Ovis aries: one gene and its partner. The protein of the gene in region 2 interacts with the protein of the main gene of each other region in a pairwise test. Links are inferred from orthologs where the notes say so. Each region holds a gene or a part of one and is shown on either strand. Other genes may lie near its edges. The genes, in order: NUMA1 and BRAP.

Evidence for each region.
Region 1: the proteins of BRAP (region 2) and NUMA1 interact in a two-hybrid assay, tested with the Homo sapiens proteins (2 studies listed by BioGRID and IntAct). The link is inferred for Ovis aries from reciprocal best matches to the Homo sapiens genes BRAP and NUMA1.

What each region holds. Positions count from the first base shown.
Region 1 is NC_056068.1:50,378,308-50,382,110, reverse strand, and holds part of NUMA1 (nuclear mitotic apparatus protein 1), read left to right. Parts: coding exon 1-1,506; intron 1,507-1,948; coding exon 1,949-1,990; intron 1,991-3,397; coding exon 3,398-3,466; intron 3,467-3,803. UniProt on the Homo sapiens protein: Microtubule (MT)-binding protein that plays a role in the formation and maintenance of the spindle poles and the alignement and the segregation of chromosomes during mitotic cell division.
Region 2 is NC_056070.1:55,361,318-55,365,865, forward strand, and holds the start of BRAP (BRCA1-associated protein), read right to left. Parts: upstream 3,015-4,548; 5' UTR 2,871-3,014; coding exon 2,789-2,870; intron 998-2,788; coding exon 836-997; intron 1-835. UniProt on the Homo sapiens protein: Negatively regulates MAP kinase activation by limiting the formation of Raf/MEK complexes probably by inactivation of the KSR1 scaffold protein.

The DNA of each region.
Region 1 (3,803 bases), on a different chromosome or scaffold from region 2:
GCTGCCCTGCAGGAGGCACTGGCCCAGGCCCTGAGGGAAAAGGAGGGGATGGACCAGGAACTGGCCAAGCTTCGTGGGCAGGAGGCAGCCCAAGGGGCAGCACTGAAGGAGCTTCAGCAAACCGTGGAGCGACTGAAAGAACAGCTGGCCAAGAAAGAGGAGGGGCGCCCGCAGTCTCTTGGGACAGCCAGCCGAGAAGACGCTTCTGGATTGCGAACCCAGTCCAAGGCTACTGGAAAGACTGAGCCAGAAGGCTCTGAACTGCAGGCTCTGCAGGCAGAGGTGAGCCGGCTGGAACAGCAGGCCCGTGAGTACCAGGAGAAGGCCTCCAGCCTGGAGCACAGCCTTGAGTCTGAGCGTACCACCCACGCGGAGCAGGCCAGTACTCTGAAGACTCTGCGGGGCCAGTTAGAGCAGAAGGCCCAGGAGCTGGGGAGCAGTCAGGACGCCTTAGCCTCAACCCAGAGGGAGTTGGCCACGCTCCGCGCCAAGGCCCAGGAGCACGGCAAGGCTGAGGACGAGTGGAAGGCCCAGGTGGCCCGGGGTCAGCAGGAGGCCGAGAGAAAAAACAGCCTCATCAGCAGCTTGGAGGAGGAGGTGTCCATCCTGAACCGCCAGGTGCTGGAGAAGGAGGGCGAGAGCAAGGAGCTGAAGCGGCTTGTGGTTGCCGAGTCAGAGAAGAGTCAGAAGCTGGAAGAGCGGCTGCGCCTGCTCCAGGCGGAGACCGCCAGCAGCAGCGCTAGGGCCGCGGAACGCAGCTCCGCGCTGCGAGAGGAGGTCCAGACCCTCCGGGAGGAGGCTGAGAAGCAGCGGGTGGCTTCTGAGAGCCTGCGGCAGGAGCTGGCCTCACAGGCGGAGCGAGCAGAGGAGCTGGGCCAAGAGTTAAAGGCCTGGCAGGAAAAGTTCTTCCAGAAGGAGCAGGCCCTCTCGGCCCTGCAGCTGGAGCACACCAGCACACAGGCCCTGGTGAGCGAGCTGCTGCCTGTCAAGCACCTATGCCAGCAGCTGCAGGCTGAGCAGGCTGCTGCTGAGAAGCGCCACAGGGAGGAGCTGGAGCAGAGCAAGCAGGCGGCTGGCGGGTTGCGGGCAGAGTTGCTGCGGGCCCAGCGCGAGCTTGGGGAGCTGCTGCCTCTGCGGCAGAAGGTGGCAGAGCAGGAGCGTGTGGCTCAGCAGCTGCGAGCGGAGAAGGCCAGCTACGTGGAGCAGCTGAGCATGCTGAAGAAGGCGCACGGCCTGCTGGCAGAGGAGAACCGCGGGCTGGGCGAGCGGGCCAGCCTCGGCCGGCAGTTTCTGGAAGTGGAGCTGGACCAGGCCCGCGAGAAGTACAGCCAGGAGCTGGCAGCTGTGCGTGCTGATGCTGAGACCCGTCTGACTGAGATGCAGCGGGAAGCTCAGAGCACTGCCCGGGAGCTGGAGGTGATGACCGCCAAGTACGAGGGTGCCAAGGCCAAGGTCCTGGAGGAGAGGCAGCGTTTCCAGGAGGAGAGGCAGAAACTCACTGCCCAGGTGAGGCCCTGGCTCAGCCACACCCCTGGAGAGCAGACCTGAGAGGCGGAGACATCGTCCCTCTACATTCCCCGGCCTCTGATCCCCATGTGATGCCAGAGTGTCTGGGTGGCAGGAGGAGAGGTGGCTGCTAGTACAGGGTGTCTGTGGCCCCTGCTGGCCTACAGAAACTCCCCTTCCCCGAAGGCTCTGTCTCTGGTGAGGCAGGCTGTGAGAGCCATCAGCCAGCCCCTTGAGGCACTCTGTCATGAGGAGGCACACTTACAGTGGAGGCCCCAAGAGCCACCAGGGCCTCCAATGAGCCAAGATGGCATTTAAAGAGGCTGCTAGACATCTAGTTCCCTGGGGGCAGATCAGAGCCTCGGTGCGGTCAGCCTGGGAGCAGGGCGGGTGCCTTTTGGGCCCCCATCTCATGCTGTCTCCGTTGCTCCCCCATGCGCAGGTGGAGCAGCTAGAGTTATTTCAGAGAGAGCAGACTAAGCAGGTAATACCTGAGGTCCTCGATAAATGCTGGCTGCTTAAGCGGTGACTGGTCTCGGTGCATGACCCCGGCTGCAGCTTGCCTCCGTGGGCTCCTGTTGTGAACTGTTTGTGAAGGGGCAGGGTCACGCCGTGGAACCCAGGCCGTCCCGGAGTGCGGTGTGCTGGGCCCTCTCAGGCCCCGCCCCACCCATCCCAGGTCGGCCTCTCCACCCGTCTGTACTCTCATCGTCTCTCAGGGATGAGGGGTAGGGCAGGCTTCGTCTTTCCTGTACCAGGTCCAGAGACAGCCTGCCCTTGGGACTCCCAGACCTCCAAGTCCTGCTCCCAGTTTGGGTACTCAGCTGTCGGGACTTACAGTTTGGCCACAGGCCTGGTGTGGCACAGCTCCCTTCTTTCCTGCAGAAGCCAGAAAGGTGATGTGCCAGGCGGCCCCCACAGATTACCAGGGCCTTGAGCTCAGGACGCTTGCCCATCACCCTCTGGGGTTTTTAACCTCCAGCATAAGATAGAGATGTCTGGGAGCAGGAAGGTCAAGGTTGAGAGGAGGTGAGGTCTGACTGCCTCGCCCTTACCAGGGTGCTTCCCTAGACATCAAAGCTATCAAACTGGCATTTAGTGGGCGCCCCCTTCCTCTACCCCCTTTCCTACCCCATCATCTGGGGCCTGCTGAGGAGCTGGGCCCTCCTCTCCTCTCATCCCCTCCTCCAGGGAGCCTGAGATGATGGGGAAGGTCAGACAGAAGAGCAAACAGTTAGCAATGGAGCTCCCGCCTTTTGCCTTCACTGATCATGCTTGAGCTCCCAGAAAGCCCGGGGGAGCCAGGAGCGTCTGTGGCTGCCATGCGCCCTCTCATCCCCTTCCTCCCTGAGCCCTTCCTCTCTGTGGGGGTGGGGTGGGCGTGGAATACGTGTGCTACCCTGCTCTCGTCTTCCAGCTGCCTGACCCCAGTGCTAATCACAGCCACCACACCACTAGCGCCAGCCCTAATGGCCTGTGCATGTCGAGGAGAGGTCCGAGCAGTTGGGATTTTGCTCTGCCAGTTTCTTGTGGGGCGAGGGGGTGGGGTAGTCATTGAGTGTGTCTGCTGGCGTTATAGATGGGGTCCCCTGTTCCTGTCCCGCCGTGGGACGGTTGGGGCTGGGAATGGTGGCGGTAAGTCGTGGTGGGGTGTCAGCTCCTGAGTGGCCCCGCTGCGTCTGTCTCTGAAGCAGGGGCTGGAGGCAAGCGTGAGCAGGTGGCTCTGACAGCACTTGCGTTGGGTCACGTCACTCAGGTCCTGCCCACCAGCCACGGCGGCCCTGAGTTTCTTATGGGGACACTGGGGACTGGCCTGGGGAAACCCCATAATTTGTCTGGACCTTCAGCAGAAGGCCCCCTGAGTCTCTCTCCTCTTGCTTCCCTGCCCCAGGTGGAAGAACTGAGCAAGAAGCTAGCTGACCATGAGCAAGCCAGCAAGGCGCAGCAGCAGAAGCTGAAGGTGGGACAGCAGGGGATAGGCCTGCCCTCATCGGCTCAAGGGAGCAGGGAGGGAAGCGCTGAGCCCTGGCTGGGCCACCTTGGGACCTGGCAGCCTCAGGAGCCCTGCCTGTGCATCTGCGAGCTCCTGAGAGACCAGAGTGGCTCGCAACCTGCAGACCTTCACTGTCTGCTGCAGTAGCCACTAGCCATGTGTGGTTATTTAAATAAAAAATTCAGTTTCTCAGTCATGCTAGCCACGTTTCCATAGCTCAGTAGCCATGTGTGGCTAGTGGCTACCATACTGGACAGGACAGATCAGAACATCTACAGCACCGCAGAGGCTTCAGTTGGGTTGT
Region 2 (4,548 bases):
AACTTGAAAGTACTCTTTGCCCCCCCCCCCGCCCCCATGTCATTAACACCCTCAGAAACTGAAGGACGTTGACTTTACATTGAGAAGTACCATAATAAGGCAGGTGTCTTCCATCATGCACTCCTGAAAGTGTAAGTTGCGCAGTTGTGTCTGACTCTTTGCAACCCTATGGACTATACAGTCCATAGAATTCTCCAGGCCAGAATACTGGAGTGGGTAGCCTCTCCCTTCTCCAGGGGATCTTCCCAACCCGGGAATCGAACCAGGGTCTCCTGCATTGCAGGCAGATTCTTTACCAACTCAGCCACAAGGGAAACCCAAGAATCCTGGAGTAGGTAGCTTATCCCTTCTCCAGTGGATCTTCCCAATGTGGGAATCAAACCAGGGTCTCCTGCATTGAAGACGGATTCTTTACCAACTGAGCTATGCACTCCTAAGTGGGACAAATATTCAGGGCTATTTGAAAGTTTGAAAACCAACCTACCAGTTCTCCACACTGGAGATGCAATACACATCCACCCCCCTGGATGGAGCGAGCTGGCAGAGCAGGGGGAGTCACAACGTGCTTATCTGGATTCAACATGAACTGCCACAGACTTACGTGCTAAGTAGCTCTCCTCACTGAGGACAGTTGTCAACCTAGCTTGTTATGAGTAATTTAGAAGAAATATTTAGAGAAACTGAAATCCACCCTGACAGCTTCATGTAAGGAACATAGGCAGTAAAAGCTAAAGTATGCTAGAGATCTTTATCACAGGCTCACTGAACACCACTCCAACATAAGCAACCATGGATTTACCTTACAGAAGATAGCCTAGCATTTTGGAAAGCATACCTGGGTTGGCCTTCATGGTCTCAATGATCACATCTGTCATTTCTCGACGACCAAGATGCTGATGTATGATTGCTGCTTTCTCCCCTGGTGACTTCCCTTCTAAACAGGCTACAGCTGAAGCTAGTGTCTTCTTTTGGATCTCCTCATCAGACATTTCCCCAACTAAAGAATACATGAATAATTAATATCTGATAATAAAACAAGCCTCTTTCCACTCTCAATGTATCCATCCACAGGTTTCCTTTTTCTCTCTGCTGCCTTCCCTCAAGACTATAAGATACCTTTTGCAGGGTCCTTCTCACTCATCTCTGGGGCTCCTGCAGTACAGTCAGTTAATGCCCAGGGCAATAAACTCAGAAATGCAGGATGGTCCTAAACGAAATCATGCATTTTAAAGCAAATGAAGGAGATAAGAGCTTTGATAGTGATCCTGCTCAGATGAACCAACACTTTAGTAACACTTGTAACAATGAAATTGTGTTGGGCCCCAAATGAGGGCATCAAGTCCACTAATCAACAAAACTTTGAGGTCAGTCTTCTTAAACAACCTGGGTTAGCCTAATGCCACCTTGTCCTGAAAAACTGTGATCATTTTCTTAAATCACTAAAACACACAAAAATGAAAAATGAATTCGGAGACTTGACAGAAATATCCTTAATATAAGCTTTATGTGAAGAGAGATCAAGCCTCTTTTGCCCATCACTGTATCCTCAGTACTTACATCACAGTGCCTAGCACACACTGGAAGCTCTTTAAAGATTTGCTGAATAAATTAATGACTCAATGACTGAACCATGTAAAAATGTATATGTTGCTTATGTCAACTAATTCAACTTTCAGAACTCAGTAGCCTATTTAATTATATTCAGTCTTTAGTTTGCAGCTCAAAAATTCACACACTCAGGGAAGTTTCCCACAAGACCATCCCTACCAGCCCCAGGCCTCTTCCCCAAACTAAACACATGCTCTCATGGTAGCTTTCCAAATTCCTTTCCAGCTTTCTACCTTCCCTTACTGTACATTTGTCACAGCTGTATTCTACTTTTATCCTGTAATTATTTAACTAATCTATCTCTATGAACTGAAGTAAATTGCTGGTGCCCTTAAAGCAGGGACCATTTATCTTTCCGCACAAAACTAAAGCCCAACAGAAAGTGAGCACTCATGAAGTATTCCTTGAATGAATGATGCGTTGCTGGCGGTTCAAGGGACAGAGCCATACCTGCATTTCCCAGGAGGAGGCTGTGTGACGGAATGAAGAGCTCAGACTCTCAAGTCCAGCTCTTTGAGGTAGAATTCCAGTTTTGCCACGGAGAGATAATCCTGGGTAAGGCACTTAATCCCAGGGCTTCAGTTCCAGTTTGTAAAAGCCTCATACACCCATAAAACTAATTGGGTTGTATGAAGATATAGGAGTGTGCACACGAGGTGTTTAGTACAGTGCTCGGATATAGAAGTGTACACATTTTCAGTTACAATTGTAACACTGCTACAGGGCGCCCAAATGTATGGTTTTTCAAAAAGGAAGAATTTAATTAAACCAGAAGCCGTCAGCGTGCTGGGGATTCCCTGTCTGCCTTCACAAAGCCTGCTGCTGCTGCTGCTGCTGCTAAGTCGCTTCAGTTGTGTCCGACTCTGTGCGACCCCAGAGACGGCAGCCTAGAGAAAATCAATTCGCACAACTAGGCTCTCACCCAGGTTGGTGAGAGAGCGACGCGCCAAATATAAACAAAGTCCCGGTGGGAAGGCACCAGGAAGGAGGGACCGGGAAAGACTTCCCACAGGTGACACCTGGGAAGAGACCTCCCAAGGATAGTGGGGGCATGAGGGATCCCAACCACTTCTCGGCTTCCTCCTGAAGCGGAGGCCCTTGCCCGGACCCAGACTCTGAGGGGACGCGCCCCGGGGCCCAGGCGCGGGCCACGGGAGAGGCGGCGAGGCCGCGGACTCACCGGCAGCGCTGAAGCCGAAGCCGGCGGGGACCGGCGAGTGTTCTGCGAGCTCCAGGCGGATGACAACTAGTGACACACTCATAGGGCAGCCGCTGGCCGGCGAAGGCCCCGGCGGGCTCAGGCGAGGGTGGGAGGCGAGCCTACAGGTAGAGAGGCCCGGGGCGGGCAGCGCCGCCACCGCCTCAGCAGCAGCAGCACCTCCGCGAGCAACCCTTTGAGCCACAACAAGCTCCACTTCCGCCTCCCGGCCGCCGTCGTTGTCCCGTGAGGTTACGCATGCGCATGCCAGCGCGCTCTTTGATTGGGTGTGGCGGTAGCCACGTGACTGGTGTGTTTTCGCTGAGGTGAGCCTACACCCTGCGTACGGAATCTGGAAGAAATCGTGGAGGAGGCACGTCACGGGAATCTCGGGAGCTGGGCTTTCATTAGGCGGATCGGTGGGTTTGCGCCCAGACCTGAGTTAGCCTACCTGAGAGACCTCGTTCTCAGCCCAGCTCATCTGACGGCGAGGGGTCTCAGACTCCGCGAGGTCTCCCAATTGTCCGAGCCACCCGCACCCTTCAGAGAGCTCTAGCCTCTTTTTGTCCTGTTTGATCTCTCGCTCCAGCTGTAGGCAGGGTTGCTTTGTGTCAGCCACGCTTTACAAATCGGTGCCCTGAGGCATAGAGATGAATCGGCTTCTTTCTCTGAGGGCCAATAGGGAGTAGGGACTGTTGGGGTGGTGGGGATACATTGGTAAATAAGATGAACACCCAATTCCTGTTCTTATGGATTTGACCTTGTCCCTAGTTGTGTGACCTTGAGCGAGGTTTTTCATAAAATTGTGTGATATCCTTATACAGCTATGAGGATGAAGCAAGTAGAGGCTGTGACTCTGTTTACATTAATTTTTCTGAGAGTCCGCATTCTTTTCAATACCCCAGACTTGAGATTGAGGACAGGAGGAGAAGGGGGCGACAAAGGATGAGAGGGTTGGATGCATCACCGACCTAGCGGACATGAGTTTGAGCAAACTCGGAGATAGTGAAGGAAAGGGAAACCTGGTATCCTGCAGTCCATGGCGTCGCAAGGAGTCCTAAAGGACTTAGCCGCTGAACAAGACTTGCCTTTGGCACGTGAACATGGAGAGCCACAATCAATACATATATAGCATGTATGTGACAAGATGCTACATAGATATATGTTATGACATGTGAGTGTGTCAGAGCACACACTGTCCTAGACATACGTAGGTGTGTGGACTACAAATCCATATCATGACCACCTGACGTTTACACCTTATGACTGCACACTATGAGTTAGTTTCAGTGTACCCTTTATATCATGATTTCTCAACCTCTGCACTGTTAACATGATTGGATTCACTAAGCCTTTGGGTTGTGTGTATATTCTGCACTTAATGGAATAGTTAGCACCATCCCTGGCCTTACCTACTAGGTACCAGTAGCACCTCCAACTGGTGACCACCAAAATGTCTCCAGACATTCCCAGATGTCCCCTTGGGGCCAAAATTCCCCACAGTGGCAGTTGCTGACTTTTGTGGAACTGTATCTGCCATATGCATCCCACTATATATATATAATATATGATATCTCATGTGAACTTTATAGTATATTACAGTAGCAGATAACATTTAATGTTGTGCCAGGTACTAACTTGAGTGCTTTATTAATACATACTTTGTCTCTGTGTAGTAATAAGAACAACTTCATGAGACAGGTACTATAATTTTTCCCATTTTATGGAGGAGGAGCCTGAGG